Linked DNA regions of Drosophila melanogaster. The protein of the gene in region 3 interacts with the protein of the main gene of each other region in a pairwise test. Each region holds a gene or a part of one and is shown on either strand. Other genes may lie near its edges. The genes, in order: CG15580, unc-119 and CG31637.

Region 1 (10,659 bases), on a different chromosome or scaffold from region 3:
TCGCTCTCGCCCCTTTTCCGCCCTTCTCCCACCATTTCTACGACTGTGTGCGCACCTGCCTGCAATCGTAATTTCAATAAAAGTTGTTACGTGCACGTTGAAATTTTAATTGAAAGCCCCAACTACGCTCGCACACTTTCCCTCCGACACACACTCATACGCACTCCCACAAATGCAATCGAACAAACACCTGAGGCTGAGAATATTATTTACAATGCATTTAAAATAATCGATGCTGGTTATTTAAAGACCCAATCAGATGCCGAAAACTATTCAACGCTTATCATTTACTGTAGTCTCCTAACTGATCGAATCATTTGAATGGAGGACACACTATATTAGGCGATTTTAAGCCTGTAAATGATCAGTCATAATAAGCTTGATGTTAATTGATTTTTAAATTAGAGAGTTGAAGTTAAATGATAGTATTTCCTTACCTAAAATTTTGACCGCAACTGTACCCACAGAGCCTTCTGTGTTCTCGTCCTCGGTGTGCGTCAGCTGCTATTCTGCGACCCTCATCAGTGGGGACAACGAGCATGACATTTCAAATGCGTTGCGGCTAAGGAGATTATATTGCATCAGGTTTGATGATGAAAAAAAGATGCGCCACATGTGACTATTTTTGCATGTGTACTACACATGCACCTGTCTTTGGCTGCGCGGTGTGTGTGCAGCGCTTGAAATTAACTACAACATTGCACTTCCTCGAAGCCACAAAGCACGTTGAAGCGAAACATTCGATAGAGCTCAGCTTTCGATTGTCCACATGGGGACATTTCGAGTGCCCTCGTCAGAGATCGGATTCGGAGTGACAAGCGAGAATCGGTGGAACTTGGCCGACTTCACCGACTTCGCAAGGGAAGCGGCAAAAGCCTCGACCGACCGCAAACTAAGTCGTTAAAACAAAGAACCCTATCGGCTTACGGAAACTTTGTTGCAGCAGCAGTTCCAGTCCCGGGATGGCAAACATGTTCGCCTCGGCCACTGCCAATTGCAAGTTTTGCATGTAAAGCGGCAAAAGTTTATGCTAAACTTTTGCCATTTTCCATGGATTCTTTCCGTTTGTCCTTTTGTTTTTGGCTGAATTTTAATTCCCTCCGAAAGTATGTAAATGTTGCCGACAGCCAGTATCGAACGGCTCCGATGTCGTTAGATTTTATGTCGAGTTCCGAAGGGTCTACGTCTCCCCACAGTGCGGGGAACCCATAACAATCTGCATAGAAAGCATGTTAAACACGGCAAAATATGGCCCAAATGAAGGGTTTCGACCGACAAGGAGCTGCGTAAACAAGGCATCGCTTACATCTACGACTTGAGAGCTATTTATCGAGCACTCGACTCAATGCAGCAATAAACCAATATTACCACTTGGTAGAGAAACTGTCCTAGCCTCATCAAATATTTGCGGTACAGGTCTGAGGACAACGTATAACGTACGAATTCCTAGAACTCGAGCATTAAAAACAAATGCAACGTCGTGGTGCCCTTAAAATGATTACTTAATAAAGAGGAAGTGGGAAGTCTTGGTAAAAAATAGTAAACACTATCAAAAACTAGACCAATATGCATGGAAACTTTGTGAATTATGCAAATGCACTCGGTTGCCTCTGGCCTGTCCAGTTTCTCTCTGCTCCTCGGGATCGCGCATCCTGCAGATCCTGTGGGCTCAATGGCGCAACACGCGCTGCCCACTGGCTGAGAACATAATTTTCGCACTGCATCTGCCCGTTGCCTTTAAGTTGAATATAATAACAATGAATTGTTCAAAAATGCGTTTCCAGTGTAAGTTCAATTCTTTAAAATTTAAAAGAATCGCTGCCAGTTGTGTATTCCTTTTTCCGCATATCCCTTGTAAAAAATGGGGATATAGGTTTTCCTAAGTGCACACCCTCAATGCCGGACTAGTTCATCAAACTTTGCTCGAACACAAATGAAAGTTTCGAACCGCAGCCATGAAAGATGCAAGGCGTCTGGCCGTGGCCTACCTGCACACTCAGCTGCGATTGGAGCCCTACATTTCACCCAGTACCTCTGCCTCTGACGTGGGCTTTGTAAGGTCAACAAGCCAAAAATGCTTAAAAAATGCAACCGGCCAGGAAAGCGGCAAATGCAAAAGCAAAGTTAGGGTTAAACTCTTTTGTGGCATTAGCGAAACCAGAGAAGGGAAACTCCATCGTGTCGCGACTGAAACTTACATTGTATTTCTATTTGTGAGGCAGCGTCATTTCCGGTTTAGATCGTCCCCGGAGCCAGTGTTGCAAACATGTTAAGCAATCGCGCCAACTTTTTGGTCTTTTCGCCTCAGGGGAAAGGCAAAACTCTGCCGTGAGACGAACGGCAGCTCGTAAATTTCAAAAATTTGAAAACAACAGCGCCGGCAACATATACTTTTCGCGCGCTGGCCGAAATTATTTTAAATCACCTGCTGCCCGGCATTTATCATCAGAGCCAGTCGGACAAGTCGGACTCCCTAACGACCGCAGCCAGTCTTCAGCTCAACTCCCAGGACGACTACAACGGCAGCGAGATTTGCGAAGAGCACTTTATTTTGGCCAAGCCATTGCCACGCCTCCGTCCCCAAGCCCCCATCCACACTCCATCCACGCAGTGAAGTTTTCTCCACCTAACACCGACCCACTCATAATGTCCGCGCTTCTGATGTTATTTTGCCATTTTCGCTCTGGTTTGCGGCTGGGGGAAAACTGTTTTGTTATCACGGTGATAAATGGAAAATTATTTTGAATCGAGCAACTACTTAAAAGAATTCCCAAAGGTTGTAATAAATTTTGGGGCACACACATACACACATACATTCACGTCCGAGAAGGACATGCGAGGAAGGACAAGTTGGTAAGACCGAATCCGAGTTGAGCTGGCTTGGTAATGTCCTTCCAGATAAAAAGGTGATTGACGAAGCGAAAGCAAAAGTCATGGTCGAACTTCCACTTAGCAATGCAGTTGTCGTTCACAGAAAAGGACCAACGACGATGTCGGTGGTTGTGTTGTGTGTAGTGGTGGGCTGGATGGCGAATTTCGTCCTGGCATGCACTTAATTTGTACTGGGAGCTGGGGACCTGGGGCTCCTCCACTTGCTCTGAAGAAATACTCCAAGTTGAGCATATTCACAAAGCTTTGCAGAGCCAGGAATGCTATAGGTGCACACCGTGCCAAATTATTTCCTTACAACTTTAAAACTAAACATTTTATTATATGATACATCCTGGAATATAGCCCACATAGGTAGGAAGTAACAGCTCTTCCGGGAAAATATTATAGCTTATCAACAGTACCACTATAATTAAATAATAATAAATATGCATTAAAAATATAAATATTTTATATGTCCTGGTCACAAGAATTGATACAAAGTCGTTTGGTTTTCTTAAGTGCAGCGTCTTTGTTGGCAGGAGCAGCTACATGCACTATGGAAACCACTTCCAAACTGGGGGCCATCTCCGATCCAGGCACAAAGGCACCCGGACAGGACGAGCACACTCAGCGAGCAGCTCTAACAACATCTATTTTTATTTCATTAGGTAGAAAAATAGCCGGCAAGGTGAAGCTCCTGGCAGCTTCGCCATCAAAACAAAGCGCTGAATATTGGCCAAAACGGAATGGAACGGGGCGGGCGAAGCGGGGCTGGCCACAAAAAGAAACTGCTCTTCGCTTCTCAATTAGGTTAGCTTAATTTAAATTTGCTTCGAGTGCTTGGCAAGTGCTTGCGAGACATTAGCAGCAAATATTAGCAAACGCTTAAAGAGCGCCGTAAGTGGAAAATATCTTAGGCGAGTTTTCTTAAATTAGCCGTTGTAAACATTTGTTACGCACTCGGGTCGGGATTTAGAGTGTCTTAAATGAAAACCGGACAGTTTTTAATGAGGAAGTACGTTTGGCAGGTGCGAGATAACTAAAACATAAAACATGTTCATTGGAGTATGAAGATAGACAAACGGCACTTCCATAAATGTATTAAGGTGCACTGGAACACATGGGTTAAAACCATGTTATACTTATCGATCACTTTCAGAAACAAACTTCAAAAAAAAAGACTTTCAACGCACAAACAAACATACTCGAAAATAACTCCATATGGACTTTGAAGATGATGAGGAGGTTGTGCAACCGCACTATGCTCAGAAATTCCGGGCTCCCACCGATCCCCTCCTTCTGGCCACATATGAGCTTTTTAAGCCCTCTCATCAGACCTTGAACCTATACAGCGAACGGAATCGCGAGATTTTTGCGGAGGCCTTTATAGAGGGAAACTTGAACACTTTAGTCAATCTGAGCGTAAAGAGTCTGGCCAAGCTGGGCATTCGAGGCATATCTCCAACTTTGCAGGCGAGTCCCCAGCTTATGAGGATATTTTACGACGCACTGGATGTGGAGCTGCCTTTGAGGTATGTAACGAAACGGATACAAGTATTTTCATTACATAACCTATAATTTAACATTTGACGCCACTAACTTTATATCGTTATTTACTATGGTTACAAACCCTAATAACTTTATATATATTTCAAAGAGATTGCTATTTGATCGAGGATCAACGATTTTGGCGACGCGTCGTACTAAGCAAGACTTTGGACAAAACGTTGCACCTGAAGCGCTGGAACGAGTTCGACTGGAAGGCTGAGGGTGTGAGCCGGAAGTTTGTGGAGCAGGTTGAATCATGTCCTGTGAACGTGAAGCCGCAGAGAAGGCTGGCTCAGTTGGCTGAAATTGTTTGGCAGTATGTCAACTCCATGCACATCCGCAAGCTGCAAGCTCTGCCCGACTATGCCTTCATTAAGCACTTGGAGAGCGAGCCTGAAGAGGATATATCCTCGGAGTCATCCGACGAGGAGGAGATATCTAGCGATGAGCCGGATACGGAAATGGACGAGGGCGAGGAGGAGCACAAGTCTAGTAGTTCCAGCAGCGAGGCAGCTATTACTTTCTGGCGTGCGGAAACCGAGAACGAGGACACAATTCGCCGGAATGCGCGACATCTGCGCAACGCCAACCGCCAGCAGGCTCGGGATGCCATTGCTAGGAAACGGGAGGATCGCAAGGAGCGCAAGAGGAAGCGCCAGGAGAAACTGGACGCCTTGAAGAATGCGGATCAATCGGGCAAGAAAAAGAAGAAAAAGAAGAAGGAACCGCCCATTCGAGACGTGTTCAGCATAAACGTTGCTCCAGAAGAAGGTGATGACGAGGACACAAAACCGGACAAGCGCAACAAGCAGCTGCTGCTGGAGCGGATCAAGCGGTATGACTATCCGGAGGACCATTGTCATCACATTGATCTGGGATTTGTACGATATTTTGAAAATATGATGTCTCTGACGCTGGAGTTTTTGGGACCACCTGATGTAAAAGACTATCAAAGGTAAGCTCTTAAATTAGAATGTTATGGTAAGAAACAACATCGAAGAAGTGAAACGTGCTGTACACGATTTGTATAACATGTTTTCTCTGAGATAAATGGAACCAAATAAATACATGTGAAGTAGAGTTCTAAAAGCGCCAAGAGTCTACAGCTGCATCGCCTACCACCAGCATTTAAATTAAAATTGCTAGCTTAAACTTAACTTAACTTGTACCTTACAGCCGTTATATGAAGTTCTCAGACAGTGATATGGTTCGTCTTAGCAAAGGTCTGAAATACTTACCGAGCCTCAAGACCTTCAGGCTTCGAAACAGTCGCCTGAGTATGAAGAAGTTTCGTATCCTGACCCGTGCCCTTCAGAACTTAGACACCCTTGATGAGGTGGATTTTGGTTATGACCAAATGACGGATGAGTGCAGCGAAGGCCTGGCCTATTTGCTAAAGCGCCCTTTGATGTACCGCAGTATCCAGCTGGAACACAACAAATTGGGCGCCAATTGTGCAATTGTGCTGGGCGAGGCGTTGAGCCAATCGCAAGTGGGGGTTTTGGAGTATCTGGGCCTGGCTCACAATCCGCTTAATGAATTGGCCCTGCATTCGCTCATAACGTGTATTATCGGAACCCCCCATGTGTGGGCCCTCAACATTTCGGGGATCAACACCACCCTGGGTTCGTTTTCCCGTGATATAGGAACCCTCCTGCGCAGCCACACTCCTCTGATGAGCCTCGAAATGGCCGCCATCAACATTGGCATCTCGCAAGGGAATCAAATACTGAGATCCCTGGAAAAGAATACCCGAGTAAGTATAACATTGAATTAGGTTGGATCGCTGATAATGACCACTTTTGCGAAAGGGGTGCTGAAGATCATTTTTAACTGAGTATTGAACTTACATTCCTATCCTAAGATCCTATACGCCGACTTCCGGGAATGTGAGCTGAGCTTCGACCAGGAATTCGAAGTGGACATGATAGTGCGTCGGAATAACTACATTCATGAAAACCTCCACCACGGCGAGAATCTGTGTAAGGTGGTCAAGGAGCGCCGCCATCCGATTGTCCAGCGAATCGAGGAGGATTTCGCCCGGCGGAAGGGGTGCACGGAGGTGCGGCCGAAGTTCTCGAGCTCCAGCAAGGAATCCATTCCGGAGGTGGTCGTTGAGAAGAAGGAGGTCGAGGAGGAGGGCGACATCTGGGCAATGTTGGCTCGGTGGAACCAGCCGACAGCGCCTGAAGTGAGGGAATCGCACACTTCAAAGGATTCGCACCCCTCTCAAAATGGAAAGACAGAACCATTTGTTTTCGAACCCAACAAGTTCGATCTGGACCAGTTCCGGAAGTCTGTCTTTCTGCCAGGCCCTGGCAATCGCTTTTTCTACCTGCAAAGGAACAAAACTCCCTAATTTGTAGCCCTTTTCACCACCTACAATTGTACATTGCATAACATTGTACTCTGAGTATATTTTCAAAGCATTAAACGCACCACTTAGCAGTCCAACATAGTCCCTATCATTCTCGAGGGCTTGGAATGTCATTCGACCTAATGGTCACTTTAAACCTTCGCCATAAAGTGCCGCGCTGGCATAAACTGAGATCTAATTAAGTCGCTGGCAACGTGTTCGCCTTGGAGCCACGCCCACAATTCCGGGGGCCACACCTCGACCGAAGGTCATTGCAGAGCACAGCAAGTGCAACAAAGTTGAGCAGTTTGCATTTAAGCAGCGGAGATTTGGGCAACAGTGTCTCCAATTTAATGCCACTTCCCCTGGCTACTTCTGCCTTCCAAGCTCCACAGTCAATTCCATAAAATCGTGGGCGTACACTCGGAAAAAATAGTATAATTTCCATGTTGATAAAACAAACTAGAAAGCACTTAAAACACCAGTCCTAAAAACAGCATGTTAAATCCTTTTAACACTTTAGTTAAAAGAATTTTTCAATTCATATTACTTCATTTGAAGACTTAATTTCCAATGTTAACTAGCGGTGATTTTATTGGAAGGCTTCATTTCTTTTAAAGTTTTTCTAAACAAGATATATCTGCTTTTTCAGTGCAAAGAAAGAAGCTCGAACAGTGCTTAGAAGTTCGTCTTGTTAACAAAGCCAAACCTCAGCGAGTATAAACAAATTAATGCATATGCCGGTTCGCCTGAGGTAATGTGTGTCTATCTTGCAATTGGGAGACGTTTCCAGGGAAGTGGGGTAACATATATCGAGGGGGCTAAAGGAAAGGAAGGAAAGCGCGGAGGGGTTGGGTATGAGTTCACGGCCCCATTTTGACAGGATCCCATGAAAGATATATGTGCGCTGGTAACTCAACTTATCAACGCGCCGAGCCACAAACTTTTCTCATCTACTTAACGCAGATAAGCGGCTGCCTTTTCGCCATGTTTGGCTTCTAATTTGCCCAGCCGCAGATACACATTCATAGACCCAACTGATGGTGTTAACTTAATTTTCAGCCAGCACTCGACTGGAGTCCGTAAGGGCTAAAGTAAAGGAAAGAGATGGGCCAACAATCCGGCGGAATCGGAGTCGCCTGACTTTTTCAGACTTCTCTTGTGTGAAATAAAATTAACTAAATACGCTCACGAGTAACATTCATAATAAACATTAAGCAGCAAGGGCGAAAAAAGTCAAATAAATATAAAAAATAATATTTGCCAGACGACTCCTTTTTGCGATTACGAGGCGACGGCCGTGTGGCCAGCGTTTTTGGGTTTTGTCGGGTTGTGGGATCGGGTGAAATTATGGCATAAGTTACTTAGGAGTAAAGCTGGTTTCCTGCTCCTGCTCCTGCTTCTGCTCCCCGGAACTTCCCCACCATTCACAGCCAGCCACCCACTTTCCAGCCCCCCGGCGGAATCAACTTGGCTACACTTTACTTTTATGTGGCGCGCTCGGAATGTACTCGCTGGCGAAATAAAGATACAGATACAGAGATACGCAGAGAGTGCCCAGATACAAGCACATTTGTAGCGATAAGCGTCATAAAGTTATCGTAAGTAAGCGCCGAAAAAAGTCTACGAAATAGATACAAAAAAAAGACGGAAGCATGAGCTTACAGTGGGGCTTGGATTTCTGATCCTCTACCAAAATACAGTGAATGCTAGTGTTTGTTGAAAGAAAACGAAAGCCTTTAGTTTAGGAAGTGGTCATTCCTGAATACATCAAAATGTAAAATATATATATATATATAAAATGAATATAAATAAGTGTATAGAAATTTGCCAACATTTATTGTTATTTTTTTTTACCAATTACTTATTATCCTATCTGATCTTATCTTTCCATTATTCCACATTTCAAACATCATAATATATTTTGGGGCAACAAACATGCAATTGTAGCTTAAAGAAGTTTGCCAAACGCCTCACCAAGGGTATTAAAAGTCAAGAAGGAATCGCAACGCAGCCACAAGTTGAAGGCATCTTTGGACTTGGAGGGGCGGACACAAATAAAACTATGACAAGGACGTAACTTTTAGCACTCCCATCAGACATTCTCCATTGGATCGGGCTTGTGGGGTCCAGCAGCAAGTCAATTACGCACTGCCAGCCAAGTTTCGCGCTTTGTTTCTCCCGGATTTGTCAGTTTAATGAATGCTTTCCCAGCGAATCGACGTATCTGCTAAATGGCGGAGGGGAATCCGTGAGATTTATTCTCCCTGACTGACCGAAGCGTGATAAGTCCGAGCAGCTGGCTTCTTTTAAAGTACCCATCAAATTTTGCACTTGTTGAATATTTCAGTTATATTTAATTTTCATTTACAGCTTGATATGGGGTCAAATATTTATGCTATTAATAGCAAACCCCTCCCGTGAACTAAGAATCAAATCCAATTAGTGAAATAGAGTTAATCATTTAAACCTATTGTGGTTTGGGAAGGAATGGTTTTCGCCCATTAAGCCCATATTAAATAAGCTTTATATTTTATTTTACCTCAAAAGTGTGGTGCTTTTTAAACACCCAATTTCTTAACGAATTAAAATAGTTTTATTAAGCCGTTCTGGTTGATAAGCACGTTCGAGGCCACCACTTTAATGTGACGATGAATGAGTTAATTGCACAGCGGAATTTAAGAAATGCCTCACATATACTGGCAAACAGATTGCATCCGAAGGATGCCAGAGTGACTCAAAACTTATTGCATTGTCTTGGCACATCGTTAATTTGATGTGTACATTAAGTCGGTGTAATGGCGATAATCTGCCGGGGAATTAATTTAAATCGGTGCACCGAATGGGGGCTCGGCATGCAGGCACATCAAAAAATCAAAAGGGAGGCCTTTGAGAGCAAGAGAAATCTTTACAATTTAATTCACTGGACCCATCAGCAGACCGGCAGGGACCATAAGCCTTCAGTTCGCTGCCAGTCGTTAATAAAACAACATACAAACATACATACATATATGCCTTCGCCGATCATTCACATTGGAGCACTTGCACTTGCATATATGTATGGTCCCGAGTCAAACTGTGCTTAAATGACAAGCGGACATGCATAAGTGACAGTGAAATGTTGCACTTGCAGCTGCATCGCAAATGCATCGGTTCGGTTGGCCCTCCAACTGGGATTCTGTAATCGCTGGTCATCCATTCAGGTAAATAAATATGCGCTTTAATATATATTCGCACATCTCGCATATGTGTGTGTCCACGTTGCAAGTTGTTTTCACTGCCGCTCCGCTTGCCTCTTGAAATGATTAAGGAAATGCGCAAATATTTCGCGTAAATATGGCAATTCAAGTTCATTTTATTTGCAAGGCAACACCTTTAGCAGGAATGAACGGCAAATAGGCCAAGAGATTTTCACTTGAGGAAGAATTTCAGGTGGTCGGTTGAAAATTTCTAAATAAATTATAGATATAAAAATATATCTATGCTTAGCATAACATTTGCATATTTATTCAAAGTAATAATATTTAAAAATATCGTTTTATTCGTGTCTCGATTGGCTTATCTTAAAGTTAAATTATATGATTAGTTGCAATCGAGACCTTTAAAACTATCAGCTAACACTGAATTAAAAATTTTAAGCAGTGTACAAACACATAAGCCGAGTGTCACTTTATCCAAGCCAACTGTTGCTTCCATCACAAAATTTTCACGTTTCCACCTACACCTGTCCGTCCATTAAAGGTGAGAGGCACCCCACTCCATTTCCACACAGACGCACGACGTACGGCTGCAAGCGAAAAATGCAGACTGCGCAGACGGGAAATGCATTGCACTTCCGTCATCAAATAGCAATTTTGCAAACATTTGCAATTACTTTTCCGAGT
Region 2 (11,092 bases), on a different chromosome or scaffold from region 3:
GCGAACGAGGGACAACAAAGAGCGAGGGAGAGCGAGATTGTAAGCGCAGTGCAATTTGAAAAATTCTTTCTATTCTGGCGCTCTCTTTCCCTCTCACACACACAGTTAAGGACACGCACACACACACAGGCGCACACACAGAGGAGAGTTAAGTATTTGCATTTTTGCGGACTTTTTCGCACTTTTCGCGACCGAAATTGAATTTTCTTAACAACTTTAACCACTTTTATTCACTTACTGACTTTTACTTGAACGTTTAACTGGTTTTTTGTGTTACTTTTGCAACTTAACTTTTTTACATTCTCTAGTTCAGTTTTCATTTCATTTTTTTTTTTTTTTTTTTTTTTTTGGAGGGGAAAAATAGAATACTTGAAAATATATCAATTTGTTGCTCTGATTTTGACAATATGCTTGATTTCTTGTTGCTGCTTACCTATGTTTGAGTAGTGTGAATGCGAGCAAGAGCGCCGCTGCGCTGCCTCTACCGCTGCCGACGTCAGCGCCGCGCTTTCCTCCTTCAATCTTTTTACCGCTAAAGACGAACTGGAAAGCCCGTTTTTCCGGCGGCTCGGCGGCGACTGGTTTACCTGGTAGCGTTGGAAATTCGATGTTTTTGTGCTACAGCAAATGCTCTGGATGCCTTTTTTTGTGTTAATGAAAAAACTGTTTCCGACAGAAAACGTTTGCCTAAAGAATATGGCAGCTGCCAGTGTGACTGTGCATGGCGTGCCCGGAAATACGGCGAAAAGCGTGCGTGCCTAGTCGGTGATGTTATCTTAGCTTATGTGGCTGACGCACAGACATGACTAAGTAAATATCCAAAATGGTTCATGCCATGGCTAGCATCGAGATATTTGCGCGCCAGTGTTGCCACTTTGTCAACAGAGCCATCGTTTGGAAGGGGTCGTAAGGGGTTAAGAGCCCCATTAATATTTGGTAAATACTTGCACATATTTTATGTGCTTATTTATGATAAAATGGCTTAGGTGTATGCAAAAAATTACAGAGTATGATAACGGTTAATTGTCAAAGATAAATTTATAAGAAAAACGTGTTTCTAATCTATTTATAACCAAACCATTTTCAACGACTACAAAAAATATTGTATATTTATATTCATGACTTAAAATTTGTATAATTAGTTTTTTCATCTACGCCCTTGACAATTGCCAAACTACATGTTGTCGAAAAATAAAACACCGGTCAGCTGGACTCCGTACACAATTGGCAAAATGTTGAAATTTATCGAAATTGCTGCAAATTAACAATAATTACGCAACTTTAGCAAAGCAACGAACCCCCCTCGGCGGCAACATACCACTGCCCAATTAGTTTTCCCGCCGGTGGCGTGTGTACACACTGGGGCCACCAAATGCAGCGCCTGACGAAATCGTTACGTTCACTTCCATTTCCCGCGGGAAAGATCCTGCGAACCCAATTGGTGGTCAGAAGGGAGTACTCCTCGGAAATACCGGATCCCGTTGAACTAAGCTTCGATTCGTACACCGGCGAGAATCCAGAGACGAGTCCACCACTGCTCACATATCATGGACTCTTTGGTTCCAAGCAAAATTGGCGAGGAATTAGCAAGGCTCTGGTGCGAAAAGTTTCCCGAAAGGTGAGCTTACCAATTTATGCGTTTAGCCAAAGTATCAATGCTCAAGCCAATGTGTATTTATTTTAACCTACAGGTGTACGCCATCGATGTGAGGAATCATGGCGAGAGTCCACATTCGAGTGTCCACAATTCCAAAGCGATGAGCGAGGATTTGCGTTTGTTTATGGAGCAGCGCAGTCATCCGAATGCCGCCTGCATGGGTCACAGCATGGGCGGCAGGTCCATGATGTACTTCGCTCGAAAATATGTAAGTGTTGCGCCTTATGCACAAACTGAGTTAAATGTTAAACAATCATTTTTCCATTATCATAGCCCGAGTTGGTGGAACGTTTGATAGTGGTGGACATATCGCCAATTAGCGTGCCCCGTTCCACGGGCGAGATGACGGAAATTTTCGACGCGATGGTCTCCCTGGACCTTTCGCCAAGCATGTCCATGTCTGAGGGCAGGAAAATTGCACGGGAAAAACTACTGAAAGCCACCGAAGACGAGACCGTTGACTTTATCATGCTGAATCTCCGAAAAAATCCTGACACCGGCGCGTAAGTTTGCCACATATGTATTTGGCCTTTTTTGGGAACCGCTTTAAAATGAGATAATCTTCCTATAGTTTCTCTTGGGCCTGCAATGCCCATGTTCTTCGTGAATTCCTCACCCGCTTCGACAAATATCAGAGTAATTTGGAGGAACTGCCGCCGTACACGGGACCCACTACGTTCATTTGCGGCACGCGATCACCTTACATGAGGTAACTTGGATCCCGAGGTGCTAAGTAAACTAAACTAATTGAATCTTTTTGCCATCTTTATTAGACGCGAGCAATGGCCACAGATACAGAAAATGTTTCCCAATTCTGAGATCCACTGGCTGGATGCCGGACATTTAGTGCACTTTGAAAAGCCGCAGGAGTTTCTAACAATAGTCAGCGAGTTCCTGAATAGAACTGAGTAGACCAAATTTTGATATTTTAACCAAATGTACAAAGAAGTCAATCGCGTAGATCGACTTTAGCTAAATTGGAAAGTGAACGCTTTGTTTTTCTTGGGAACGGGAATTCAAATTAATTTCACTTCAGAACTCGAGAAGACATTCTTCAACGATCTACGCAGATCTTCAAGAATCTTCACCGAAAAGAGCGGGATAGCAATATATATATTTTTTTTTTTGATATAAGCGTTCTGAACTTGATGATTTTTCAGAATATAATAAATTTCTTAAGCACCTTTAGTGCACGAAATGCCCTCGATTTAACCCCCTTAGAAAAGTTTCAATTTATAGTGGTGTATGTACATTTAAAATGTAATTTAATTTATCATTCTTGTTCGGCGTGTAATCGTTAGTGTTTTTTTTTTTTTGGATTTCCAGTTACGTTCGTCTTTTTCCATTTGGTTTTTGTTTAAAAAATATACATACACAGACACGAAAAAAATGCCATGAAGAAGCTGATAGATTTCGTATGATTTCGTATGCTGCATACAAAAATTGACGGCAAATGGATTTTCCTCAATTTTTTTTTTTTGAAAATTTCCAATTCGCTTCTCATAAGTTCTGTGTGTGCGTGTGTGTATACGTACGTATTTTATATATATGTATTTGTTGTTTCTTGTTGGGTGTGTGTGTGGAGTGTCCTTACTTATTAGGATTAAATAAGTGTGTACAAATACATATATAAATCAAGGGAAATCACATAGCACTTAAAATTATATAGTCAAAGTGGAAATCATTGATAAATGAACACAATCCGCGTGCTTCAGTGTGTTGTTGTTGTGTTTGTGTGTTAGTTTCCGTTTGCAGGAGATCATATCTTGATGCTAAATACATCAAACAGGAATGGTGGGTAAAACTTTGGTGTGCTAAGGCTAAAATGGCTGTGATAATATTCCTCGATTCGATTCGATGTGTTTGTGAGTGTGATTGTTGACATTGAGTGGGTGTTTCGTGTGTGTGTGTGTGTGACAAGTCATTGATTTTGTCTCACAGCTTCTGTAGTTTCTAGTTCTTTAGTTATTAGTTTTGCTCTAGTTGCAGTTCCATTATAGTTGAGTTTCTAGACTATATTGCCGCCATCGTAGGCGTAGTCGGCTTTGTTGTGCATGACGAGTCGGTTTCCCACAAAGTAAAAGCTGTCCGAGCGCGTCTCAAAGGGGCTCGATATCATCTCAGCAACTAAAAAAAAATGGAAAACGAACGAACATATTTATGTGAATTGCATTTCATTAATAAGTCCACATCCTACAAACCGATAACAAAAAATAAAAACCATGATAGCTGCTCGCAATCTGACCAATAGAAGCCTCATCTCACAGGCGCAAATCGTAAACGACCTTGACCCACAAACCCCTTCAACTTTTGGCAGCAACTTTCAATTGCGTGTCATGCTGGCTGGGATTATGTAAAAATTGCTCACCTAGGTCGGGTGGAAGGTTAGGAAACTCGTAGATGTGCTCAACCGTATTCTTCGAAAATGGAAAGCAAAAGCCGAACTCAAAGTCAAACGTCTTTAGCAGGCGATCGCGGAAGAAGTGGCGTTCGATCATACGAAAATTATTAAGCGGCTGGCTGCCCACAGTGAATTCCACACTGCAAATAAGGGAAACTTACAAATTGAGAGGCATTTAAAACAAATGCAAATACTGTATAACCTACGTGGCTCCCACTGTTTTGAGGTTGAGAAATGCCGGTGTGAACTGATAGCGCACATAGCGTCCGGCATTTGGATCGGCAGTGTCATCCAGTGACAATTTCTCGGCAGCCGCCAGCATGGTTTCATCCGAGGACAGTCCTTCCGGATATTGTTCACTCGGCGGTTTGGCGATCTCGAAGAGCACAGCGCCGCTCTCCAGGTCGCGAATCTTGAACCGCGTGAAATCAATCTCGAACACATTTGCATTGGCGGAGCAGAGATAGTCGTCCGTGATCTTGGTCAGATGGAGCACCTCGTCGGGAGTCACGCTGGAAGACTCCGCAGGCCGTTTGGCATCACCGGAGGCACCAGCGCCCGCTGCTGCAGCTCCCGACGATCCTCCACTGCCGCCGTTGGCCTCCACTCCACTGTTCGAAGAAGAGGATCCTGCGGCCGCGGAGGAAGACGTTGTCACTGCGCCTGCACCGGAGGATTGCACCGGATTTAGTTGCTTACCCACCACGCTCATTGTGCACGGAATGAATCTGGTGGTATTATTTGTCTATAGTCTGCGTTTCGGATTTCTCAAGCTGAACAGCTTTTTTAAGGCTCCTGGCTGGATGGCTGCTGCAGTGGTATCCTTTGATTTGAAGAAGCTACTCCGCTGTCTCACTCTGCGAATAGAAAGGAATAGGCATTGGTTATTAGGGAGTAAATAATAAAATATAGCACAAATACTTTTGAATTTCTATTACTTCAAACTAAACTGAATAATGAAATATCACATTTTTTTTTTAACATAGCAAAAAAAAAAAAAAGAAGTCATAGTTGTTAAGTTACTCACCAACACAAACACACACAAGTGTAGAGTTGTCATAAATTGTGCCAGGATTTTCTGGTGGAAATATAAGGCTTCGTCTCCGCTACCCTATTATCCTTTCGCTTTCCGCTCCTCACTATTAATTTTTGCCAAATATGAATAGTTATTTGGCGAAAAGCACAAAAATAAGTTAAGTATAAGGTATATAAGTTAAAATAAATTCAACATAAATGCAAACACTACTTACCCACACGAATTCAGGTTGCAAGTGTTGCCATAACATTTAGCTGTCAGCGACAACAACGTCCACGACCATTGCAACAACAGCAACAACAACAACAACACCGAACCGACGACGACAGCAACAAATGAAATTCGTTTGAAAATCACCAGCAACAGCAGCAACAACAACAACAACAACAACAAATGACCCAATTTCTGAAAAAGCTGCGCTCTCCTTTTTCCTTTTTTTTTCCTTTGTGTTTGTTTTTCCCTTTTCGGTTCGCGTCCTTTATGCGAATGTATGTGTGTGTGTGTGTGTTTTTATATGTTTATGTATGCGCAGGGATTCATTTATTAATTTGGTTTTAGTTGCTGTTGGCACTGCCCGAAAATCAATTAGATCAATTTGACCGGCAATGCTGCTGGTGTTGTTGTTGTCGTCCGCAAAAGCAACTTAACGCACTTAAACGCTAAACATTGCACCTTTTTTGCCCACTTTTTTTGCACTACTCAGCAATCGATAGATTATCGATGATGCATTACAGGAAATCGGTGAGACCGTTCGCGCATGGGGAAAAACTTACGACCAACGTTGCCACATACTCGCAAAAAAACATTTCTGCGTTCTAGCAGGGGTCACACTGTTGGCGCAATATTCAAAATATTCTACATTTTACATCTAGAAAAAAGGCTATTCAGATTTTTAACATTATTTATTGTATAACCGAAAGTAAGCGAACGTTTGCAGAAAGCTTAATCGGAAATAATGAGTATAGACAAGTATAAGTATAGATTTTCACATCTTAAGCTTAAATTGAAAACCCAAACTAAAAAATAAAATGCATATACCCCCGTCACTCGCCAGAGTAAACCACTATATACAAAGCAAATTCGAAAAGGAAACACTTTGGAAGCGTGCAAATGTGTTAAATGGCGTGTTGCGATCGCCTTCCCATGCATTTTTGTGGCCGACAATTAGTTAATATCCATGCAGCAGACTGCCGCTTGCTTCTCCCGCTTCTCAAGTGCGCCGTCGAGTGGTTTCCTTTCCTTTCGCTTCCCCTCCCTTCGCCTAGAATGCAGATAAGCCCGGCCTAAAACTCAAGTGTCCTCCTATCCACATCCCATCCCATTCCATATACAACGCACCCATACTCGGACCCATTTCGATTTCCATATTCAGACGCACGGGCGCCAATGCCAGATCATGTTTGTGCACTGCGAGAAATGCTGGCTATAATATTATTTAGATCTATTTCGATTTTTCACGCTTAGTGAGTCGCTATTTTAGTTTATAGATTTCATGTAAATAAAATAGCACTATGATATTAAGATAGTTTTTTTTTTCATATTCATACATAAATGTATTTTTTTCTTTCAGTGCGAGACGAAAGTACTTGAGTTCAATTCTAGCTCCTCCTTTTCACATTTTCTCTGCTTCTTGCCGCTGTTATTGTTGGCCTTAAGTGGGTATTTTAATATTCGCAGCCGGAGCCAAAGAAGTGTTAAGTTTCAGGGGCCACATATGCACTTATCCCCCGTCCACTGTCCACTGCCCCTGCCCCTGCCCCTGTTTTTTTTTCTCCATTGGCGTCCGCGTTTCCTGTATTTTTTTTTTGTAGTTTTTTTTTTTTTTTTTGTTTCTTACATTGGTATTGGTGTGTATCTGTGTGGCAGCACTGGGAACGTGTTCGGCTCTATCTTTAGTACAGTTTGACTGGAGATCTCCAAACTGACCCCCCCCCCCTTGCACCGCCGCCCCTCACTTGATTTATCCCCCAAAAACTCACATAAAATCTGCAGACAGCCGGGCACCTGAGGAATATGCCATCTGACAGGCCGAAAGGGTCGACAAAAGATCCAAGGAATTCGCGGGATAATCCATCTTTTGTATCAGCGCAAATGCCATAGGCAGGATTCGGTTTCATTTGAGTTAAATTTGCTGTTCCATGAGATTAAATATTTTCGAACCAATTTTTAATGACTGCAGCAGGTGGCCAATTTAAAAGTACTAACTCTATATTATTCAATTATATCAAAGGACACTTTTAAGGATAATTTTATTCGCCCAGAGGATGGTAACCCAAAAATACTTAACCTGTTTTCTTCAGAATTTATATACATACTAATGTATATAAGCTTTTCCAAATAGTAGCTACATCCGACTTATCACCGATCGATTTACATTTACATAGCAAATGAAACTTAACGTTCGATTGTTAGTTGATGAAATTTGTTTGAATATTTCTTTCTTTCACGGACGGACCATAGAACTTTTCGAGCCATAGAACTCAAGTACCCCCTCCTGTGTACTTCAATGCGTGTTTGTGTGTGCGTCTGTGTGCCTGGGTATCGAAAACAAACAGTAGAGCAGCAACAAAAACCAAAAATCGTGGGCGATAATATTCGTACTCGAATGGCCGAACAGGGGCGTGGCACAAAAAAAGGGGGCTAGAAATATTTTCCAAAGCTTGTTGCATCTAATAAATGGGATCTTATGGTCATAGTATTACGTTGCTCACATTTTATAAAGTACTGCATACTTTCTTGGGAAAATGTTACGTCTGCGCAGCCTGTTTTGTGTGCCTTTTTATAAGAAATCCCCTTCGCAGAAGACGCCACTGACCCTATTCCAAGTGGCGATGACGTTATGCGCGCCGGACGGTCTGGCAATGCAATGCACACTGCACTCGCACTCACACACAGATACAAACACACCACACACACACACACATACTCCACATCGAGTGGCCGTTTCGGAGAGTGTGTTTTGCTGGGGTTTATTGCGTGTGTGTGTGTGAGTGTGTGCACACTCCATAGAGTAACACCTCCCAAGCAACGCGTTCAGTTCGTCAAAAGCGCCAACAACAACACGAATTGATACACTGAACAAAACACGATGATACTACTACACTAATAAAAAGTAGCACTTCAGCTATAAAGAATATAACTAAAAACCAAAATGCTTAAAACTGCGTGCACTCTATGAAAAGATGTAGGTGTAGTTGCACGTTGCGTAATATCAACATTTTTTCTGAGTGCAACGAAAGGAAGAAGAAGAAGAAGCACAAGAGCCGCAGAGCATAATCTAAATGGAATTTAGCTTTGAGCCTTGCTTTTCGAGCGATTTCTCAGGCGAGATACAACAACAGTGGGCAGCGACAACGACGTCGACGCCTTCGCTGACCACTCCCCCCACCCCGCTGGCCAACTTTGGCATACCCTTTGTAACACACCCCCCTTTTCTCGCAGTGCAAGCCCCGTCTATGTGTGTGTGTGTGTGTGTGTGTGTGTGAGTGCAGTGCTGCATGTGTGAGTGTGGATTTTTCTGGCGACAGACTGTCTGGCCTGACTCTGCCGACGCCTCTGCCCGCGTCGCTGCCTCGGTCAACTGCGACGCCTCTGTGCGCGTTTGTTTGGCCTGCCTTTATACATGGTGAATGCGTCTGTGTGCAAGTGCACACCAATGGCCACTTAAATAGCACCCAAAGAGTAGAAGTTTTCAATAACAACAATAAGCTATAAGAATTTTGATGGTTGTCTTAAAATTTTCCTGTTTCATCGCAATTGAATTAATATTTTAATATCTAATAAACTATCAAATATTTTTTGGATTGTACCGCCTGGTTGTCTTGTTCTTAACCCTTATTATTATTGTATTATCTCAATTGAATAAAATATCTTAGACCTATTTTCTTGTCCATGCCTGTAGTTCTAAGAACGTAGGTGTGCCAGTGTGCATGTCTGAACTTTCCGTCCGTTTCGGTTGCCCGTTTGTCCATTTGTCCCGGGCACGAATGTTTTGTTATTGCGGCGTTTTGTTATTGTTCCTCCATGCTGATATGGATTCTCGATGGGTTGGCGTTGGTGTGTTGGTGAGTGCATTATTGTGGGACGGTTGGAACTGTCGGATTGTAGGTATCCCAAAACCGAAACTCAAACTCTAACTCAAACTCAAACCCATACCGAGACCCATACCGAAACCCATACGCAAACACTCACAGTCACACGTACAGTGGGCACATTTTGTAGAGCTTGAACTTTACCTTTGAAAGGGTTGCTCTTGCTCCCTTTTGAAACTCTGACCTTCAGAAGGAAAAGGAAACCCGGTGCTCAAGTCCCGGAGTGCCTTTAATTGCCTGAATATTCGTTATTCTCCTGCTAGAAATTCTTATAACGTTCAGTACTTTCTGTACAGCAAAATGACAAGTAAATACATCCAAATAAGCATATACTTTTTGGTAAAAAAAAAAAAAAACAAAATACCAAAGCATCTGTTCCCAATCTAAAAAACCAAATGCGAACCAAACAAAGACGTACACACATAAATATTCGGAAATAATTAATCTATATATGTATACATATATTCGAAATAATGCGCACATAATGTCTGTCCGCAAGCAGGGCCAGAAAGTTTATTTGTATGCCCTCCCAAGGAATAAAATTTTATTTGTTCACCTCCTCTCGACAAAAAAAAAAAAAAACCACCTCTCCACCGCCTGCTGCATTTGCAGCATGCTTTATGCCCCATATGTTCAGCGCACATGCGTTATCGGACCCAAATTGGATTTACATAGATAGTTGACCCCAGCCCTATAAACAAACCCCATTCCGGAGCTCAGTTGGATGTCCCACGTACAGTAGGCACTGGAGAAGTGTGCTTTAAGAGGTGGGGACCGAAAACAGCAGGGGGATATATGGAATACCAGACCTAAAAAGCTAACCATGCTACAATGCTACAATCTTGAACTGAAACTTATAATATGTTCAGCATGTAGTCATAGGATTTAAACTATGTATCATAAATGCAATCCTGCAAACCAAAAAGACAAGTACATCCTATCGACTTTGAGAAAGGACCAATCTTAAATCCCCCTACCACGACAAAGGGTCACAAATCAAAATGAAAGATATGGGTGGTTTTTTCTAAATCTCAAAAACGATCTTCGGCGAAGGGGTTTTCTTTTTTTTTTTTGCCTTCACTAATGCGATGGCCCGTTGACATGGGACACTTGGGCACAAATCATTCCCGGTGTCCAGTGTTTGGTATGCGACAGAGATCCGATCCCATCCGATTCTTATCTACAATCTCTGCCTTTCTCTTTCGTATAACCGAAATGGTACGTCGGTTTTAGATCGAAAACACTTACTATTTGGTGCCAATGTAACGCCTGCGAACGGAATTCGAATTTGATTTATGACGACGCCCCATAGATTTCATACCCATAATTAGTATTTCGGGTGCGTTTCCCCCCTGACACACTGCGTATAGCATAGTATTGTACACCATAGTGACATGGGCTCCTCGGTCTGAGCGATTTATGGACAGGTGGCGATGTCGGCTGGCTACTGTGCAGCCGATATCCACAGCCGATTGTTCATGCCACGCGCGTATATCGCAGATATAGAAGCATGCATATAGATAGAGAGATGGATTGATAGATAGGTAGATAGATAGACTGATAGATAGCCAGACAGGCGGACAAACGAACAAACGGGGGGTGCGTATCTAATGAGGTCTCTGGTAGCTCATTTAACTTTTAAACGAGAGATACCGCCGCCTTAAATTATGGCCACCTGCGATGTCCCCAGCTGAATCACCAAATATCGACATCGAAGCTATATGCATAAACATGACCACGTATTCAATAATCTTGCCAGCTACCGGATATGGATCCATTCATCATCGGAACATCTCCGGTAGACCCATCAACATTAGACGGCTATGATAAACGACTAAGGTTTTTTATTTTTTTTTTTTTTTTTTGGGATGACATCCGAAAGTGCCACTACAATTGCCACACGTCAA
Region 3 (10,724 bases):
TCAACTGCAACTTTATGACATTAGTTTTGGTCGTGGTTTGGGCCAGTTGGCCGGGGCCAAAAGGGGAAATCGCGGGGGCCACGGGCGCACAGAACTTCCTCCGCCAGCATGGTTCATCAATTTTCTGTGCGTTTCGGGGCAGCAGATGCTGCGGATTCTGTGATGCGGCATCGTTAGCCGCAACCAACTGATCGATTCCATTGATCGATGAGCTGCTTTCAGCCACTAAATCATTGTAATTTTCACACGCTTTTCCAGCTCTGTCAAGAACGTTGGAAAAAGAACCACGAGTTATTAGCCGGCCCCCCGGAGCGATTGCATCCATTTACTATGGTTTTTAGATGCAATGGAATAAATATGATTTTTCTGCTACCGGTTTATCTATTTGATCATCTTGGATGGCTAGCATCCATTTGGGAAACTCGAACACCAGGATTTTAATCACTCTTTCATAGTCAATCATTTAACTTTTATTTCCATCATTTTTCGCATTCTGTTCATGCAACCTGCGCCAACTGGCTTAACTGGTTTTTGTCGAAAATTTCTATACTTATCATTATTTGCCATTATTATCATCATCCAACGCCTCATCAAGTTCCACTAAAGAGGAAAAATAAATAAGCTACACAAACGAGCAAAATATGAGCAATCAAGCCGCAGTACAAGCTACGATTTTAGAAATTATTTCTACGCCCAAACACCGAAAAAAAAGCGAAACTTCCAGTGCATGTAGAAGTGGGTAAAAAAAAATCAATCACTTTCACTGCCGGCCAAGAGAGTTTGTCATAGTCAAGTTTCTGGTCGGGTATACCCCCCCCCCCTCCCCATTCACCATCAGCGTATTGCCACCGACAATTTTTTTGATTTTGCTGCTTTTCACCCATTTACGCCAAGCCGATCTCTACACGTACCAAAACAGCAATAGTAGCGGGCAAAAAATAAAAATAAATAAATAAGAAAAAGGTTTGGCTTAGCCAGCAACGAAACCCGTTTCGCTTTTTTTGCAAATGCAATAAGATACAAAGTTTGGGGCACACACAAAAAATGGAAAAAAATATAGACTAGCACACTCAATGCTCTTTCCACACTGACTGACAGACTAGTTATATTTCGGTCAAATGCGATTTGATAACATGTCAGCTGTTTTCGAAAAGAAAGTTCAGATTAATATACTCGTTTGAGCATGAGCTACACTAGCTCTACATGCTCCAATTTCAATTAGCTAGTCAAAAAAAAGAAAACTACTATCTTTATGCTAAGTGTGAATAGTGCACATCTTTTGTTTGTGCCTAGTGAATATATCTACTTCTATAAAGAAATCCATACACCCGCATTGCGCATGAAAACTATTCTACTTGAACGTTCACTGAACTCACGATCGCTCTCTTTCGCACCGTCCATAGCCGTCTCTCTCTCTCTCTCTCTCTTTTTGACAAAACTGTCAAGTCAAAAGGTTCAAAACGAGATAAACGGCCCAGAATGAGGTCTATGGCGCAATGGGCTTCCGAGAACCGGGTCTTACAGCAGCCAAAAACCGCGGGGTCTTGACGTCTAGCGGCTTCTTCTTCCGTCTCGTTCTCATATTGTTTGCTGGCTGTTTTGGCCCGCTTTAAAACGCAGCGCGGAAAAGTTTTTGAGTTAATGGCCACTTTGCTCATTATAAGCCAACTAAAACTGACTGGGCCCAAACTCTTTGTGGCTTCTGCGGTTCTTTCGGCTCGTTCGGCTCTCTTTGGTTCTTTTGCCAGATGTTGAATGCAACTATTTTCGCCATCTTCCGACTGTGCGGCCTGTGGTGGGCGCATTCAATGCTCACAATTTTAATCTACTTGCTGGCAAAAGCCTCTCAAAGTTAGCGGCCACAAAACCGTAGCGCGCCGGGGAAAACTAAATGAAAAGGCTTTTCCAACAGTGTGAAGAAATTTAATAAAACCCGACCTTAAGCTGAACAATTTTCATTAAAATTATGTTTTAGTTACACTTATTGTGAAATGATTTAATAATAAAATAATACAATTTACATTCCGTGATTGCTTCAAACCGTTCAGTGCTCAATGGAAGTAGTAGTAATGATAAATTTTGCAATTCTCGTGACTCATTGACTTATAAATATACAACTGCCCCATTTGGTAGTTCATTTCATTAGCCACATTTTCTTTCTTATCGCAACTGAGTGGCGGGAAGGAGACCATGAAAAATCACATAAAAATAATGTGTGATTTATAAATGAAATGCTCATTGGGCATTAAATTTAAGAGACCGTCCAACACGGCGTATACGCGATAATTGTGGGAAAGCTTCGCCCAGTTTCCCCCCCAAAAAACAAAATTCTGGGCACACCCAGCCGGCACAAGACTTGGCCAATCGACAATTAGAAGCCAAGTTAGCGGTCGCTTAGTGACTCACCAAACACGGCTTTTCGCCCCACAATGCTCGCACTGACCCAAATTGTGGCTAAGTGTGTGGCTGGCTGGGATGATGTTGGCCCGCAGGCAAACATAAATCCAAGTGCTGGTCAGCATTTCCGGAATTTTGATGCATTTCCCAGCGGCCAGCGGCCAGCGGGGCCAAGTTAATAGAGTGTGAAAGAATTTTTACTGCAGTCCGCGAAGGAGAGTACAAAGAATTGAGTGAGAGGCGCAACTTAAGTGCAAAGTGCTTATACAAAGCTAATTTTATGAAGCACTTTTCCATTTGAAATAGAGCTTAAAGTTATCGGAAAACAAACAAAGCTGCAGTTTTAACTACTATCTGCAAGTCTTGGTTACTAATATAAGCACAAAAAAATAAGATAATAAGCTTGCTCTTTTAATTAAGGTAAACAAGTTAAGATAAAAGCATATAGTCAGCATCGAAATGGTTGAAAATAGATTAGGAGGAGGAGTCGAACTAGGAAAACAAAGTTAGCAGGGCAAAAGAGAAATTAAACCTTAAGAGTTTGTAAATTTAGTGACCCAACTTCCGGCTAAAGTATACGAAGTCAGCTCATGATTTAGTGTGTTAATTGTTTTTCGCTTTTCAGAGGAGGCGGAGATGCCAGTAAATAACCATTAAAAGACATCAAACATTTCTTTTGACATTTATGTGGCACTATAAATGACATTTTCCACTCAGACATTTTATCTCTACCAATTCGTGTATTTATTGAACAGAAATCTGTGCACAAATGTCAGATACGTTCTCATTGATTGAAATTGTTTTTTATATCCTTTGCATAACATTGACACAACTCAGCCCACACAAAAGCCGAATCTAATACATATCCAGAATGTCCTTACAAAAAGGAATGATCGGAGCATGTAATCGAAACCACAAAAGCCAGTGGAGCAGGATTGGGTTTGGGGGACTGGGTTCTGGCGGGCAAGGAACCGAAACCCCACATCAATCAAATACATTTTCGTTTTCTGTTTACTTGTTGTCGCTGGTTTGTTTAGCTAGAGATTGCTGTACACTAATTTTATCGATTTCTGCTGCTGTTGTTGGCCGGCTTACATTTTAAATGGGAAATTATGTAAATGAAACTTTTGTTTGCGGCATTTGGGGGAATGCCCCAACGAGATTTCAAATCGATTGTATTGCCCAAGGATTTGCTCTCTGTTTTCACTCAGTCGAAAGTAAACACCCTGAGAATTTCAGGTGATACAATAACAATACAATCTCGAAAAAGTGGAGGCGAAACGATTACAAATTCGGTATCTCAGATTCTAATCACAGCGTTATCAGTTAAGGTTCCCAAGAAATACAATTTAAATGGTAATCCCCACTTTATAAATGAGTGTTCATAGCTGACAAATAGTATTGGGCTTCTGTAAAATTATTTTAATTGTTCTTTCAAATTCGTAAGTTCAAGAAAAAAGTATACCGAAATTTAGAACTAGTTTTTAATCGCTAAATAACTCTGAACAAACCTTCATAGCCTATCCCAGTATCATATCACTATCGTGTTTGAAAATTTCGGAAAGCCCAATAAGTAATTAGGGTAACAAACCAGAACGATAACGTGATAGCAGTTGAAAATTTATAATAAAAAAGTACAGACAATTTAAAGTCTATTGTTGAAAAGTAAGCATTAATGAAACTAATGGCCAAAATGCCAATTGAACCTTTTTTTATACAAGATTGATTGCTGTTTGTATATTTCTTTATAAACTAAGACTAAAGACGAAGACTTTCAATTTAAAATAAACAACATTTTCATATACAATACATAAGCAATTAGATAAGACGCATAAGTTGACTGGCCGAGGAAATTTAACTGGCAAAACTAAGAAAATACTATAAGCATTTGCCTTTCGAAACTTATCACCAATGAGGGCCTTGGCCTGCCTCGAAAGATAAAAATGGGATGCAAAGAAACTGCTGATGCTATTGAATGAAATACTGACTTAGTCTGGATGGGGAATTTAACAAAGCAATAACGATAAAGACTTGCTGCTGTATGTTGCAAACTGATAAATCTATAATTTCATAATGAAGTCACTACGTTTATTGAAACTGATGTGACACGCAAAAGAAGGACTAAAGACTAAGACAAAAGTTGATTCCCTCGATTATTAGATAGTTAATTAGTATTCACGCTTCCGGGTAAGTAGGTAATCATGTGGCATGTTTAAAGACTTCAAATAATTCGGCACGAGTCAATGCAGTAAAGAGCTTTCTCCTAAGACATCACACTCCAGGGTCCCCGAATAAACAATCCGCCTGAGATGCGTTGCATATCGCATGCCAGTTGGCTTTCACTTTCTACCCGGATGTCTGGGCCCACTCACCTTTGGTCCTCGAGCAGCTTTTCGGCCTGGGCGAGTCGCAGGCGGACGGTCTTCATGCTCTGGATGGGGAAGAGGCGGCAGAAGCGCGTGAGGAAGGCTGGACGCCAGCAGAAGCGCGGGAACTCCCGGCAGACGTCCCACAGTCGGGTGTTGTGCTCGAACAGATAGGTGTGCGTCTTGCCGAAGTTCAGATAGTCGATCATGTCGGCGTAGTCGCAGTTGAGCAGGTTCTTCAGGTTCTGCACGGCCAGCTCCTGATCGTCAGGATCGCGGATCTGCTTGATGCCGAAGTCGAGCAGCGGCTCATAGTGATAGAAGTTGCCCGGTATCGAGTTGAGAATGTCACCCAGGAAGGTGGAGCCGGAGCGCCATGAGGTGACCACCACACTGCGCACCGGGGTGCCGTTCGTCTCCGGCGTCATGTCCGTCAGACGCTCGGCGCCGCCGCGCGGATACTCGAAGTTCTCCATTTCGGCCAGGATGCGCGACCGTTGAGCCGACAGGACATCCACTATAGTAGCTGTCAGATTGTAGACGGCCGTCTGCGACGACTGCTGCTGCTGCTGCAATTGCTGCTGGAAGCGATCGTAGAAGGCGCTGCGCGCCAGCGAATTGGATGGACCGCCATCTACGGACGCGCCCTGATCCCGCCCAGCCGACTGATTAAACGGCGTGGTCAGCGGACGGTGCTGGGTGGTGGCGATCAGCAGCAGGATGCACAGGCTGCTCACGCCGCAGATGCCGATCAGATTGGCCCTGCGCGACATCCGGCTGCGGCGCCGCTTTCCGTTCAAGCTGAGTCGCTGCTTAGCGCGTGTCCTGCCGGTATCGACGTTCGACGGGTCCTGCGGGCCAAGCAGGGAGCACGCCTCCAAGTCCGCGCTCAGTTCCAGGTGCTGCTGCTCCTCCGTGCTGCTGCTGCTGCTGCCAATGCCCGTGCTCATTGGTCGGTCGGTTGGTCACTTGCTAATTGCTGGTGGTGATCACTTGTGTGCTATACTCGCACTCGCTCCCACACGCACATAATTATCGGCGCGCCCTCAACTCGAGCGCATTGCAGTTGCTTGCTGCGGAAGTCGCCGCGTCGGAGTTATATCTTTGTTTTCCGTATTTATATCTCGATTTTCCGCGACGCGATGCGAACGAAACGATTGACAACAACAAAGTGACCGTTGCGGGCAGGTGGAAAGATGCCGCGGCGAGCAGTGAAGTCGCGTATAACAACTATATCCTAAATATTCCATGAAGTCACAGTGTACTAGTCACTACATTTGGTGTGAAACCTGGCTGGCCATGTAGCACAGACTCGAACCAATTCGGAGAGTTTTAATTCAGATTCAAAAACATTTTTTTAAAAGCATTTAAAAGTTCTGATGAGCATAGATCAAATTTACATATTTAACCCCTCGAAATATACCTTAAATAAAGCTTTCATATCAAACCCCTGGCCCACTACACCCCTAACATTTGCCCAGAAATTAATAGGCTTTGTCCATAATTGGCTGGAAAGATTCCGGGGAAAAGTGATTGAAGTCCTGAATGGAGCGATACCCCCACAAATCCATTGCCTGACCGCACACGTCCTGTACAGCCCCAATATCGTCCACCATCATTTCGCTTATCCACTCGAAGGCGGACTGGCTGGAAAGCTCCTTCCAGCGGGAGGACTGAAAAAAGTAGCCACTGCGCGGATGCATTTTCTGAATCCTGGTCCTGTTTCGTTCCAAGGGCAATCCGTAAAAGTCGAATACTTGTTTGATACTCTCATCGGGCTGTAGGAACAAGTCCTCATAACGTATAATGCTGTGAAATAGGCATATAAATAAAGAGATATATAAGAGTTACACAAAACCTTACCTAAAACGCTGTGGATAGGCTTGGGTGAGGGTCTCGACCATTTGATAATCACTGACCATGTCGCCGCAAAGTTCCTGTGCCTCGCAATCCCTCTCATCCGAACACCACTTGTTATTCATTCGGGAATATATGGTGCCCCGAGGATCGCGAACAAGCAGCATGATGTTCAGATTTAGGCTAGAAATGTGGAATTTTAAGTAAAACGATTAATTTTCAATAGCTGCCACCACTCCACTCACTCTTTGCGTTCCAGAAGGGAAGCCAAAAGATTCAGCCGCAAGTTGTACACCGCCATGTTGATGAATGGGTACAGCTTGCAGACGGCGGCCATGGTCTCGGGATCCCAGCACGCCTCCTGGCTGTAAGAGCGACAGATCTTGGCCTGTGCGCCATAGAAGCGCCGAAAGACCGGCGATCGCATTCCCCATTGGATCATTTCCGCAGACTTGTTGTAGTCGCAGTTGTACAGCGCCGCCAGTTCATCCAAGGCGCGATGGTGCTCCTTCGCGGCAATGGAACGGCTCTCGTAGGCGATCAGTGGAGCGTAGTGCTGATAGCAGCCCGGCTGATGGGCCAGGTTGTCCAGCAGGGTGAGGGCACCCGATCCCCGGAATGTGACCAGCATTGAGCGGATTGGCTGGCCGCCGGCATCCAGAGTGAGGTTTCTGATGTCGCCCAAGTGGCTGGTGCTGTAGGAGACCAGTGAACGTTGCAGTGTCACCGGATCCGGCATCAGCATGGGCAAAAGGAAGAATATGAAGAGTACGTAGGTCGTATAGACGCCCACGCAAGCGACGGTTAATTTTGAAGTACGCGAAAGTGAAACCATGACTGAAATTTTAAGTTTATTCCAATTTTCCCACTCTTCCAATTTTGTATAATGTCTGAACGATTGAAGTTTGAAGATCTGACAGAAGGTACTGTGCTTCCACGAAGACGATCAAAAAGCAGGACAGGATTTGCAAGAAGGGTTTATCTTGTAACATGCTACCTTTATTGGCATATCATTTGTATTTTATATATAATTTTAATAGTTAATAAATTGTTATTTATCAATAACTAAAATACTAATATTGCTATGTTATAATACGTAAATATTTTGAGTTCCGATTTGTTTAATGTGTATATATATTTTTTTGTAAAAGATCAACTATGCCGCTGAATATCGATAGACTTTTGAAAAACTAAAAGAATTTCGGACTAGGCAACTGCAAAAATATCGAAATATGTAGTGAGAATTACTTGTATAATTTCCAATAATGTCGATTAATAAATAGCAGCATTTCTATCAATGCTTTCCTAAATCTCATACAATTTCTTTAGATTTCTGGCACTAAATGCTATTCCGCAAACATCGAACCTGTATTATGCTTCAATACGTATATATGTCGGTATATCTGTTATTAAGTCTGTTCATTTTTAGTAAAGGCAAGGGTTTCCGATGAGGATGCAAGGATGTGAAGGAGAAATCCTCCTAACAACCGTCTTAGCTGCGGGTTAAGCTCATAAGAATATGGCCAGCTAGATGAGTTTCAAACGTTATCCTTAAATTACTTGGAATATTGAAGTTATGAAAGTGGCTAACTGGTGATCTGATGATTGGAATTAGTCGCGAAATTAAGAATATCTTAGTTTATAAGTAAGTATTTGTTCATGAACAATCGTTCTGCAATAGTTATGCTTATAAAAAAAACTGGGGCACCGGTTGGTAAAAGGCCCAAATATAAACTAGGAATGCGCATTATATTTGGGACTGTTGTCCAACCAACTTTAAAGTACTTGCGAATTAATACTTAAGGTTAATACCATTAATGTCTCTCAAATGTCTTTTGTCTGGTTATCCTAGTCGCTGTTACCCTCCGTCTCGTCGTCCAGCAGCAAGCTTGTCGAACCATAGCTACGGAGTCTGAAATTTAAATCACAAATAGTTATTATATTTACCTAGAATTATACATTGATTAGTAAAACCAATACATGCAGTAAAAGGATTAGTGATGCTAAAACAAATCAAACCAATAATGTGATGAACACAATAACTAACAAAGCATTAGTTTACTCAAGTGATAACAATCGTTTCTGCTCCTCTAATCTCACCTCATCGTCGGACACCTTGAGACCATCTAGATTAATGCTGTTTCTCGCATATCCAGCGCCTGCAGACTGCTCCTTCTCGTACAGCTGTCGGTTTAGCTCATCCTTACTGGAAACGGAGCTGCTGCCTCCATTTGTGGTTCCCTTCAGGGGCAGCGCTAGATTCGCTCGACTGGCACTGCTGCCTGCGCTGCCATAACGTCCGTTTCCGGATCGCTGCCTCTGGTGATGATGATGGTGCTGTCCGTGAGGATTATCGAATTTCTGCTTGGCCCGCTCGAACTCCAGATTCCGTGACTTCGACTCAAATATATTCTCCTCCAGATGCGTGGGCTTGGCATCAAAAAAAGCAGCTGCTGCCGCTGCCGCCGCCGCTGCAGATGCCGCAGCACTACTCTGCTGCTGCTGCAGGAGCGTTCGTTCCGTGTGACTAGATCTCTTTACGGAAGCAGCATGATGCATAGCGGCATCGCTGCCATTGTGGGAGCTCCTCAAACCTGCCTGCGAGTCATCAAAGATCTGGCGAAGATCATTGATATTCGGCAGACAGTCGTTGGGCAGCTCCACGGCAATCTTATTCCTCAATTGCACCCCGCCCATGCCCCGCAGCTGGGGACTGGGAGCACGTCTTTTTCGTTGGGTTAAGCGTGGGTTAGGAGTTAGGTTATTAGTCAAGCCAGCACCAGTTGAAAAGTTAGTGGTTATTAGAGTTAGTCCACAGACTTAGCGGTATGCAAATCTAAATGTTTCTTTCGAACTGATCTTACCTATTCTGGAGGTGCTGAATCTGCACCTGTAATCCTTCCGTCTGACCCACCAGCTCATCGTTGGAACGCTGCAAGCGGCGCACTTGGTTAACGGCCGAATCCAGTTCGTCCTCAGCACCAGCTAACTCCCGCTTCAGCTCCTCCACACGCTGACGCAGACGCTTCACCTGCAGGAAAATAGAGAAAAGTAGTGATGTAGCTACATATGTGGATTCAGATTGGTATATTACATATTTGTTCTGAACGCATAAGATGCATCTGTACCCAAAACTCGAAGCACAAAGAGCAAGGGGGCGTGCCTTCCAGTCTTCAAACACAACTGATAAGCAGACGACCCCCGCCAAGTGGTGATAACGCTTAAAATGGAAAAATATTTCCTTCCACACTCGCTTCACTCTTGGTTTCTATCGTCAAGTGAAATATAAGCGCGATAGTGCGAAAAATTTAGAACCCGCAGATTAAGATCGGGCATAACAACAATATTAAAGCGAGGTAAACAAAGTTGGCGAAGAAGAGCGAAGAGAGCGCGCGAAGAGCGGGCAGCCAAAAGCTCTCGCTGTAGATTTAAGCTTTCTTCAGTCTCTCGCCGAACGTCGAATCGAGCAGCTGTTCCGTGGAGAACCGGCTGATCACTTCCAACAGAAAAGACAGAACCGAATCGGAATTATGATTGCGCAAAGTGTAATCAGCAAACTGCGACCGTGTGCCCGCCGCTTGGCCAGCACGAGCTCCAAAGCCGCAGCTCCCAAATTCAACTGGCAGGATCCGCTGAATTTGGAGAGCCAATTGACCGAGGAAGAGGTGGCCATTCGGGATGCGTTCCGTGGATACTGTCAGGCCGAGCTGCAGCCGCGCGTCAAGATGGCCAATCGCCTGGAGACGTTCGACAAGAAAATTATGGAGGAGATCGGCAGTCTGGGTGTCCTCGGCTGCACCATTAAGGGATACGGCTGCGCCGGAGTCTCTAGCGTTGCCTACGGCTTGCTCACCCGCGAGGTGGAGCGCGTGGACTCCGCTTATCGGTCTGCTGTCAGTGTCCAGAGCTCGCTGGCCATGGGCGCCATCTACGACTTTGGATCCGAGGAGCAGAAGCAACGCTATTTGCCCAGCATGGCGGAGGGCAAGCTGATTGGTGAGTGCCAAATGAATAAAATCATATTTTAATGAAATATTGAGTGAATTATATAAAGTCCCGTAGTTTATATGTGTTCTCTTTAAACGAATCTCAATTTCTTTACAT

The links.
Region 1: the proteins of CG31637 (region 3) and CG15580 interact in a two-hybrid assay, tested with the Drosophila melanogaster proteins (one large-scale study listed by BioGRID).
Region 2: the proteins of CG31637 (region 3) and unc-119 interact in a two-hybrid assay, tested with the Drosophila melanogaster proteins (one large-scale study listed by BioGRID).

What each region holds. Positions count from the first base shown.
Region 1 is NT_033777.3:6,050,924-6,061,582, reverse strand, and holds CG15580 (uncharacterized protein), read left to right. Parts: upstream 1-4,046; 5' UTR 4,047-4,092; coding exon 4,093-4,403; intron 4,404-4,528; coding exon 4,529-5,374; intron 5,375-5,595; coding exon 5,596-6,175; intron 6,176-6,283; coding exon 6,284-6,778; 3' UTR 6,779-6,871; downstream 6,872-10,659.
Region 2 is NC_004354.4:7,285,481-7,296,572, forward strand, and holds unc-119 (unc-119), read right to left. Parts: upstream 5,819-11,092; 5' UTR 5,313-5,818; exon of another isoform or gene 5,309-5,312; intron 5,198-5,308; 5' UTR 5,086-5,197; intron 4,916-5,085; 5' UTR 4,771-4,915; coding exon 4,265-4,770; intron 4,199-4,264; coding exon 4,026-4,198; intron 3,785-4,025; coding exon 3,666-3,784; 3' UTR 2,887-3,665; downstream 1-2,886. Other genes in the region: CG2059 (uncharacterized protein), read left to right, coding at 1,373-1,618, 1,692-1,865, 1,931-2,160, 2,229-2,366, 2,431-2,569. UniProt on the Drosophila melanogaster protein: Myristoyl-binding protein that acts as a cargo adapter: specifically binds the myristoyl moiety of a subset of N-terminally myristoylated proteins and is required for their localization.
Region 3 is NT_033779.5:6,493,865-6,504,588, reverse strand, and holds the start of CG31637 (uncharacterized protein), read right to left. Parts: upstream 5,943-10,724; 5' UTR 5,714-5,942; coding exon 4,770-5,713; intron 1-4,769. Other genes in the region: CG9550 (uncharacterized protein), read right to left, coding at 6,248-6,572, 6,627-6,803, 6,866-7,455; CG9547 (uncharacterized protein), read left to right, coding at 10,151-10,616; CG31638 (uncharacterized protein), read right to left, coding at 8,524-8,532, 8,721-9,345, 9,485-9,651.